Saccharomyces cerevisiae S288C: one gene and its partner. The protein of the gene in region 1 interacts with the protein of each later gene in a pairwise test. Each region holds a gene or a part of one and is shown on either strand. Other genes may lie near its edges.

The links. The genes of interacting proteins can lie anywhere in the genome.
Region 2: the proteins of ROD1 (region 1) and RCK2 interact in a two-hybrid assay, tested with the Saccharomyces cerevisiae proteins (one study listed by BioGRID).

What each region holds. Positions count from the first base shown.
Region 1 is NC_001147.6:362,565-367,395, forward strand, and holds ROD1 (Rod1p), read left to right. Parts: upstream 1-1,804; coding exon 1,805-4,318; downstream 4,319-4,831. Other genes in the region: PET127 (Pet127p), read left to right, coding at 1-1,250. UniProt on the Saccharomyces cerevisiae protein: Mediates resistance to o-dinitrobenzene, calcium and zinc.
Region 2 is NC_001144.5:632,560-636,609, reverse strand, and holds RCK2 (serine/threonine protein kinase RCK2), read right to left. Parts: upstream 2,359-4,050; coding exon 526-2,358; downstream 1-525. Other genes in the region: E3 ubiquitin-protein ligase IRC20, read left to right, coding at 3,256-4,050. UniProt on the Saccharomyces cerevisiae protein: Serine/threonine-protein kinase involved in a signal transduction pathway that is activated by changes in the osmolarity of the extracellular environment.

The DNA.
Region 1 (4,831 bases):
CTGGAACGGGTGTATTTGATCTGAAGACAAGAGCAGTTTCTGCCATAAGATACGATTTATCACATGTAGAGAGTAATAACAACCAAACTGGATATGAGATAGATAAAGTTTATGGGGAATTTGAGTCTTTGGAAAGAGAATATTTTGAACTAATCAGGTCTGCCCTTCTAAAGTATTCTTTGCAAGCTAGAATTGGCAAAATGGACGGTATTTTCGTTGCATACCACAATATTTCTAAGATGTTTGGATTCCAATATCTACCTTTGGACGAATTAGATTATATAATCCATTCTTCGTATAACAGCAAATTCGACAGTTTGTTAAAGGAGAAGAATGATATCACAAAAGGGATATATGGTGAGGAGGACTACATTCTACACTATGACAGGGACGATAGGAAAATTGCTTGCTTGGTGGCTAATAGGGAATTTAAGATGTCTATGAATCTGTTCAGTAATATTTTGAAACACGTTGAGCAGTTACTTAACTCAAGTAATACGAAATGGGAAAAATGCAAAATAATGCTTAAAACCGAAGTTGAAGAAAAACGATCCAAAAGTGGCCGCTTCTTTAACGAACCGGTGCTAAATATTGTAGCCCTGCCGTTGTCACCTGAGTACGAGGATAAATCTTTATTGGTAAAGGATACTTCGAACGAACAATTAACAGAGGAGCTACTAAACCTCCGCTCATATAACGAAAATCTTTTGGAGGAACACCTGAATTCCTTAGTTGGATTTAAAGTAAATGTCAAGCATTTCTATCACCATCATCCTAATACTACACATCTACCTGATTTTGCTTTAAAAAAGAACGATATTCTCGACACCGAATCCCGTAAATATATTTCTGACATGATGAAACGAGACTGGTACAAAGATATACCATCTACACAGACTCCAAACTTTTTCCACGCTTCCGATGTTTCCACTTGGGAGGTGAACTCTACTTTTACAGATATCAATGACAAACAAATTTTACGAAAACTATACTTTAAATATTTGGATGTTAAATTAAACGCATTGAAAAATCAAGTAATCACACGTCAGGAACCTGATATGTCTAAAAAGGATGAAATTATGAATCGAATCAAATCACTACAAGCCCGCAATGATCACCGCGATAATGGAAGTAACAAAAGATATTCTAATTTTGGCCCTACCCGACTGCAAACTAAACTGCGCGCATATGCTAAAAAAGGTGCCCTTCGAAGAAAACTATTAGAAAGGAGTAACAAGTTCCATATCTAGAAGACAGTAGTCAGCGTTGGGCAATCTAATGTTATAGGTGAAGTTTTACTACTTTAATGTATTCACTCACAACTTTCGACCTTATGTAATTATTCTATGTATTTTTAGATATGTCCATACAATGCATTATTCTTGTAATTATAACACATATTAATTAAACAATGGGTCAAAAAGAGTCGAGTCCCTTGGTACATATTATGTTACATTACTGATTAAGTTGAATAAAAGCATCTAACTTTAAGGAATCTGCTTTATTTTGAAGACCGAAAACTACGAGTAAAAATAGGAGTTTTAATGCGGATGAATGTCTAACCCCAGAGATGGGTTCTCCGATAAAAACTGAGAAGCTTCCTGTTCACAGTTTTTATAAATTATTTTGTATGGCTGGGCTCTTGCAATTTTCAGCGTTTTTTTATTAAGCGAAAAAAACAGAACAGGGGTCCCCTATTCAAATATAGACGTCAAAAAGATGCAGATCTAAAACTAATTAACAACCATACAGAAATCAACGCGATTTCATCACACCATTCGCTTCTCTTCCTCCATAAGTAATAATGTTTTCATCATCATCTCGACCTTCAAAAGAGCCATTACTATTTGACATCAGACTTAGAAATTTGGACAATGATGTTTTACTGATAAAAGGCCCCCCTGATGAGGCATCTTCTGTCCTACTATCTGGAACTATAGTATTGTCAATTACTGAGCCAATTCAAATCAAGTCTTTGGCTTTGAGACTTTTTGGTAGGTTGAGACTAAATATTCCAACGGTTTTACAAACTGTTCATGGGCCGCATAAGCGATACTCAAAGTTTGAGAGAAACATATATTCTCATTTTTGGGATGATTTTAATATAAAAAGTTATTTCCAAAACTTGTACGATAATCATAATAATGGTAAAATAACAATTTCTAGTAAATCCTCAACAAATTTAGCAGCATTGCCAAAGAGAAAAAGAGCCCTTTCTACTGCATCATTGATATCAAGTAATGGGCAGACAAGCGCAAGCAAAAACTATCACACCTTAGTAAAAGGTAACTACGAATTCCCTTTCAGCGCGATTATTCCTGGGTCATTAGTGGAAAGTGTAGAAGGCCTACCAAATGCTGCCGTCACTTATGCTCTGGAAGCTACTATCGAGAGACCTAAGCAGCCCGACTTGATCTGTAAAAAACATCTAAGAGTTATTCGAACGTTAGCTATAGATGCAGTCGAGTTATCTGAAACAGTATCAGTGGATAACTCATGGCCTGAAAAAGTCGATTATACGATCTCCATTCCAACTAAGGCAATTGCCATTGGCTCTTCCACCATGATCAATATTTTAATTGTTCCTATATTAAAAGGATTGAAGTTAGGCCCTGTTAGGATCAGTTTGGTGGAAAATTCCCAGTATTGTGGTAGCTATGGAGGGGTTATCAACCAAGAAAGAATGGTGGCTAAATTAAAACTAAAAGATCCCCTGAAGCACGTTGCCCAAATAAAGAAGAAGAGGAGCCTAAATGAAGCTGCCGACGAAGGGGTTGATACGGACACAGGGGAATTTCAAGATAAATGGGAAGTTCGAGCTTTATTAAACATACCTGCAAGCCTGACTAAATGCTCCCAAGACTGTCGCATTTTATCTAATATCAAAGTCCGTCATAAGATCAAGTTCACTATAAGTTTACTCAATCCGGACGGTCATATTTCAGAATTGCGTGCGGCACTGCCTGTCCAATTATTCATTTCACCGTTTGTTCCAGTCAATGTAAAGACCTCCGATGTTATTGAAAGAACGCTCAAAACGTTTGGACCCTCATATCAAGTAACAAGTCAGCACGATAATTCATTCAGCAGCAAAAACTTTGTAGACGATAGTGAAGAAGATGTGATTTTTCAAAGATCTGCTTCTGCGTTACAATTGTCTTCAATGCCAACCATAGTATCTGGCTCTACTTTAAATATCAATAGTACTGATGCAGAGGCTACCGCAGTCGCTGACACAACTATGGTAACTAGTTTGATGGTACCTCCCAACTACGGCAATCACGTTTACGATCGAGTGTATGGCGAGGTAACTAATGAAGACGAAACTTCAGCATCAGCTTCTTCAAGTGCCGTCGAATCACAGGCAATTCACAATATTCAAAACCTATATATATCGGATAGTAACAATAGCAATAATCCTATTTTGGCACCAAATCCTCAAATCAAGATTGAAGATGATAGCCTAAATAATTGTGACTCTCGAGGGGACAGCGTTAACAATAGTAACCTGAATCTGGTTAATAGTAATCTAACAATTAGTGAAAATTGGAACAATAACTCTCCTTCTGCAAATAGATATAATAACATCATTAATGCTGGATTGAATAGTCCTTCACTGACACCAAGCTTTGCACATTTATCTAGGCGTAACTCATATAGTCGCCAAACATCTTCTACATCGCTGAAGAACGATTTGGAACTGACAGATTTAAGCAGAGTTCCCTCGTATGATAAAGCAATGAAATCTGATATGATTGGTGAGGATCTTCCACCGGCTTATCCCGAGGAAGAACTTGGAGTTCAAGAAAATAAAAAAATTGAACTAGAAAGGCCACAAATTCTTCATCACAAGTCTACATCCTCTTTGTTGCCACTTCCAGGCTCGAGCAAGAGTTCCAATAATCTGAAAAGATCGTCTAGTAGGACACATTTATCCCACTCTCCATTACCAAGGAATAATAGCGGATCCTCAGTATCATTGCAGCAGTTGGCGAGAAACAACACAGATAGTTCATTTAATCTAAATCTCTCTTTCACTTCAGCAAAAAGCAGCACAGGAAGCAGACATTTTCCGTTTAATATGACAACATCTTTCACTAGTAATTCAAGTTCCAAGAACAATTCACATTTTGATAAAACTGATTCTACATCTGACGCTAATAAGCCAAGAGAAGAGGAAAACTATACGAGCGCAACCCACAATCGAAGGTCACGCTCATCGTCAGTTCGGAGCAACAATAGCAACTCACCATTAAGACAAGGAACAGGTTCATTTGCTAATTTAATGGAGATGTTCACAAAACGGGATCGCTCATAGACTGCTTTATTTTTTGTCTTCGAAATTTCGACAAAAAGATATGAGCAATACTTCATACACGTTTGTACAGTTAAGCATATATACTTTGATAGAGTACTTTCATACCTCATACCACTTGAAAAATGATAATATAATGTTATAATACTACCTCATAATTGCTATAAAGTAAAACAATTCGGCGTTGTAGTTTATGCTTCTATAATCACAAAAAAATTTCACTGAAGTTGTCAGATTCTGCCGCAAGGCTTCTCATAGATTTTGTTAAGTGGTCTTACTCGGTTTTATGGCTTGAAGGTTAACATAATTATGAAAACTTATTGATATCCTCCCCACCCCTAACGTTTTAAAAATGATCTCGTCCAATATGTTTGAGGTGAATAATATCGGACCAGTTCTTGTTTTTAAAAGATAAGAATTGCTCATATTTCCCATACTTGTTGGAAAATTTCTCTCAACAATTGTATGAAGGCAAAATCCCTCAATTGAAACATTAAAATAGTGATTAGAAAAACA
Region 2 (4,050 bases), on another chromosome or scaffold:
GAGGAAGCGAAAAAATTTTCACCAACGCAAAAAAAGAAAAAGAAAAAAAAAAAAAAAACATTAAAAACGTTTCTTTTTCACGTGCTAAGTGATCTAATAATTTAGGGTTATGCATGGGTGGGGCCGGATAAACCGCGGTTGAAAGTGATTAAACGGAGTCTTTTCTTTTTTTTGCTTCTTCGTTTCTTTTTTTAATTTCTTCTTTCTTCACGAATATTTATTACCCAGCCTGTCATGATTTTTTGATACGTAATTGCCCTGGTTGGGCCCTTTTGCGAGTGGCAGTAAGTATGGAAGGGGCGAACAATGATTGTAAGTTGTTTTTTTAATAGGGTAACGACCGGGTAAAATAGAAAGAAGTGTTGACTAAGAAACGGGAATCAACATTCACTTGCTTATCTTAAAATGTTATGTATATATACGCCCTGTAGATATGTATAAAATATATACTTGTAGAAGGAGTTTAATGTATATATATCTTTTAAAAAGGAATAGGTAAAAAGATTGAAACAGAAGGGAAAGTTGCTATTCCCTGATAGTGGCGCTTATTGGAATTGTAGGCCCTACGTCATTTTCTTGAACTTTTTTTCTTCTTTGCAGAATCGTGGACGTATCCAGCGTTAATTGGAACATATTTTGTTCCAGCTGTTCATCGCCTTGGGCGCCACTGTAACTATCTTCCAATTCTTCGTCCTCAGCAAGCGAGCCTAATCCTCCACGTGTTCCCATACGGTCTTCTTCGGTACGTTTCACAGCATTACCAATATCAAAGGCGTCACGCATAGCAACAGCAGCTGGTGAAAACAGTAGCGAGGAGTCTCTTTGAAATAGTTGGAATTGTTTCTTATGCGGATGGCGTCTTTCGGAAGTACCTGCTTTCTTTTGTGAAGATTCGCCCTCCTTTGGTAAACAATCGAATGTATTTAACCATGGGTCGTCCAAAAACTGGTCAATGTCGTATCTTTTAGACGGCTCTAGTTCTAATAGCTTAGCCACGGCATTCTTGGCACCGGCGCTGATTTCATCCCACCAAGGTTTCAGAAAGGTATACTCACCCCTTGATATTTTTTCAGTTAAAGTGTCAATTTTCTCATCATAGAATGGCGGGAACCCACATAACATTGTGTACAAAACGCAACCAATCCCCCACATATCCACTTTCATAGAATAATGCTCATCTTTGACAACTTCAGGGGCAGTGTAACCGACTGTACCACAAGGAGTCTTGGTGTTCTTGGAAAATATTTGTTTAGACAAACCAAAATCAGCTAGTTTTACTATACCAATTCCACCACCACCAACTCCTGGTGTGAAAATTCCCTCGTCTGCCTTTGTTTGCGGATCATCCGATTTCCTCAATTTTGGTTTTATAGAGCGTGTGAATTCAATCGGTTCAAAAAGAAGATTCTCAGGTTTTATATCACGATGCACTACACCTAGTGAATGCATATGTTTAACAGCCAGTGCTAATTGTTTGATTACATGCCTTGATAAATCTTCACTGAAATAGGTCAACCTAACAATTTCGCCGAAGATTTCCCCACCGGTTAGTAACTCTTGAATAATATAATAATAGCTATCTGTTTCTTGGAAGTCTATGAACGCGACAATTTGTGAACAACCAGCGGAAACCGTCTTATGTAGTGCAACTTCCTTCAAGACTTGATCTCTGGAAGAAGTTTTAGTGCTGTCCTTCCCTTTGTCCTTCTTACGATGATCACCATTAATCGAGGATAAATCTGCCTTTTTGATAACTTTAATGGCAACAGCTTTATAGTTTTTAGTTAAAAATTCATTAGAACTATTTTTAGCAGGTATGGCTCTAAAGACTTTTGAAAAAGCACCTTCACCGATTTTATTGATCAGCTTGTAACCTATCAATTCCTTTTGTTCGAGGAAGGATTTTTCCGGAATTTCATCTTCCATATTGTCATCATCAGTACTGTCATCCTGGATATCACTGATAATCTCGCTTTGTTCCGAAAGAGATTCGTCAGATATTAAGGGGTCGGAACTTAATTGACCTTCACTACTTTCATGGACATCGATAGCTGGCACGGAAGTAACTGTTTCCACATTTTCCGTGGTAATATTATCACTCGGTGAAGAGTCCGAGTCTATCGTGGTTACTAATTCATCGGTTAAAGACTTCATATGATGGTCATCTGCGACAACACTCGGGTACTGAACTATATTTTTGTCCTGAAAGCTTTTCTTAGGGGAAGAAGTAATCTGGGAAACATCTTTGTTATTTGTACCGCTTGACCTGGTCTTACCCTTGAATGGTTTTTTAGATTCCTGAGACAAATCTGCCTGATCCGGTTTCTTTTTCGAGAAAAGGGCCTTTATTTTAAGCATCGAAGAGATTTTGTTTGATCCTCTCTAAATAAGCAGTACTCTTAACAATACTTTCGTCTTTTCCAATCGTTAAATGTTTGTACTTCAAATAACGTATGAACTATCTGGGATTTTATTTTCTTTAATTTTTTCGATGTCACTCTTTTTTTTTCTTTGGCCGATCCGTCTTTTCTAGTAAGCGTTTGTAAAAAGTTAGATGTCAATAGGAGAGATAAAGCCCCAGAGATAGAGTTTGACTTCGTTGAAATAACTGTCGCTGATTACTATTATCTAGGATTCTTGACGAGGTTTCCTCTTAATCACTGGATTTATAATTATAACCTTAAACCTAGCCAGTAAAAAAGTTTAAAAAGAACAAAAAACAATAACAAATAAATGTCCCTTTATCCTCCTTTTTTCTCTTGATTGCTATAAAGTAAAAAGATTACTAGACTTTATGCCAACGTACTCGTGGACGACTAAAACTAACGGTGATTTTTTGGATCGTAGTGGCTCTTTTTCAGCCTTCGTACTTTCAAGAATAAAGGAAATGGCAACTACTAAAAAGAGTGCCTGCGCAACGGATGTTTTATTAGCTTGAAGATGTAGCTGAATAACTCCTGTTTTTAAGTGAGCTCGAAATGACGAACCAGTCAAAGAACAAACTTGACCGCAAATACAGGGACATCCAAGGAGTCTGGGATAGCTTCACTCCTATGAGAGCTCAAGGAATTACCTGCTCGCATCTCTGACCAAGGATAAGGCTCGTTTTTTCCTTTTTCGGAACACTCGAACTGCTACCCGTCTTTTCCAGATCTACAGCTGATGAAATGTGGCTGATGAATGTATTGATTTGCCACTTTCTAGGCGCTGTCTAAAGGAATGAACTCCAGGAAAGGCCAACTTATTCGACGGTAAATGTCTGCAGTAGGTGCGCTATTAGCAAGGGAGTACAACGTGACTGCCGAAAAATGCGACTTTTTCCTAGAAAATGGTTCTTTTGATTCAGTGATAGCAGCATTGCCAGCGCTAAATCAGGAACAAGAGACTGTAACTCAAAAAGTTAGCAAGAACGGAAAAGAATTAATCAACGTTGCCTCGGTAAATATCGAAATACCAGAGCGAATAAGTCTTTCCAACAACGGTAGGCAGTTATTTAAATTTATTGTTGATATAGAGATCTTACCTTGTGAAAATGATAACGAGGCAACACTTGTTGTGTCGTCAGATTCCGTATCCTTATTTCAAATTGGATTTAAAATGGAGAACAATTCAAAAATCGCTGTTGACAAACAACTTCCGCTGATCTTGGATATATGTGCTCATAAAAACCAAGAAAGGGCCCTACGAAATCAGTTAGAAAATCGTAAATCTTTAGAACGCAAACCATCAAGAAAGAGAAGAAAAAAAAATTCAAATGTTAACGATCCTGAAAAATTACTAAAAAGTCGTATACACGAATTATCTTTGTCCTACAAAGATTTTGAATGCTCTCCAGTCGTATTCCGATACAATGATTCCTCTTTAACATGGGTTTTATCTTTTAATTTGAAGTTGAAGTTTTTAAATAATAAATTCAACCGGTTTTCCGTGGAGGCTAACCAAATACTGGACTTGACGTTCTCTAATAGGGACGAGAACGAATTTGAGCGATATCACAAGCACAGCCATATCCATTCAAACTTCATTCAAAAACAATTTATTTCTCAAATC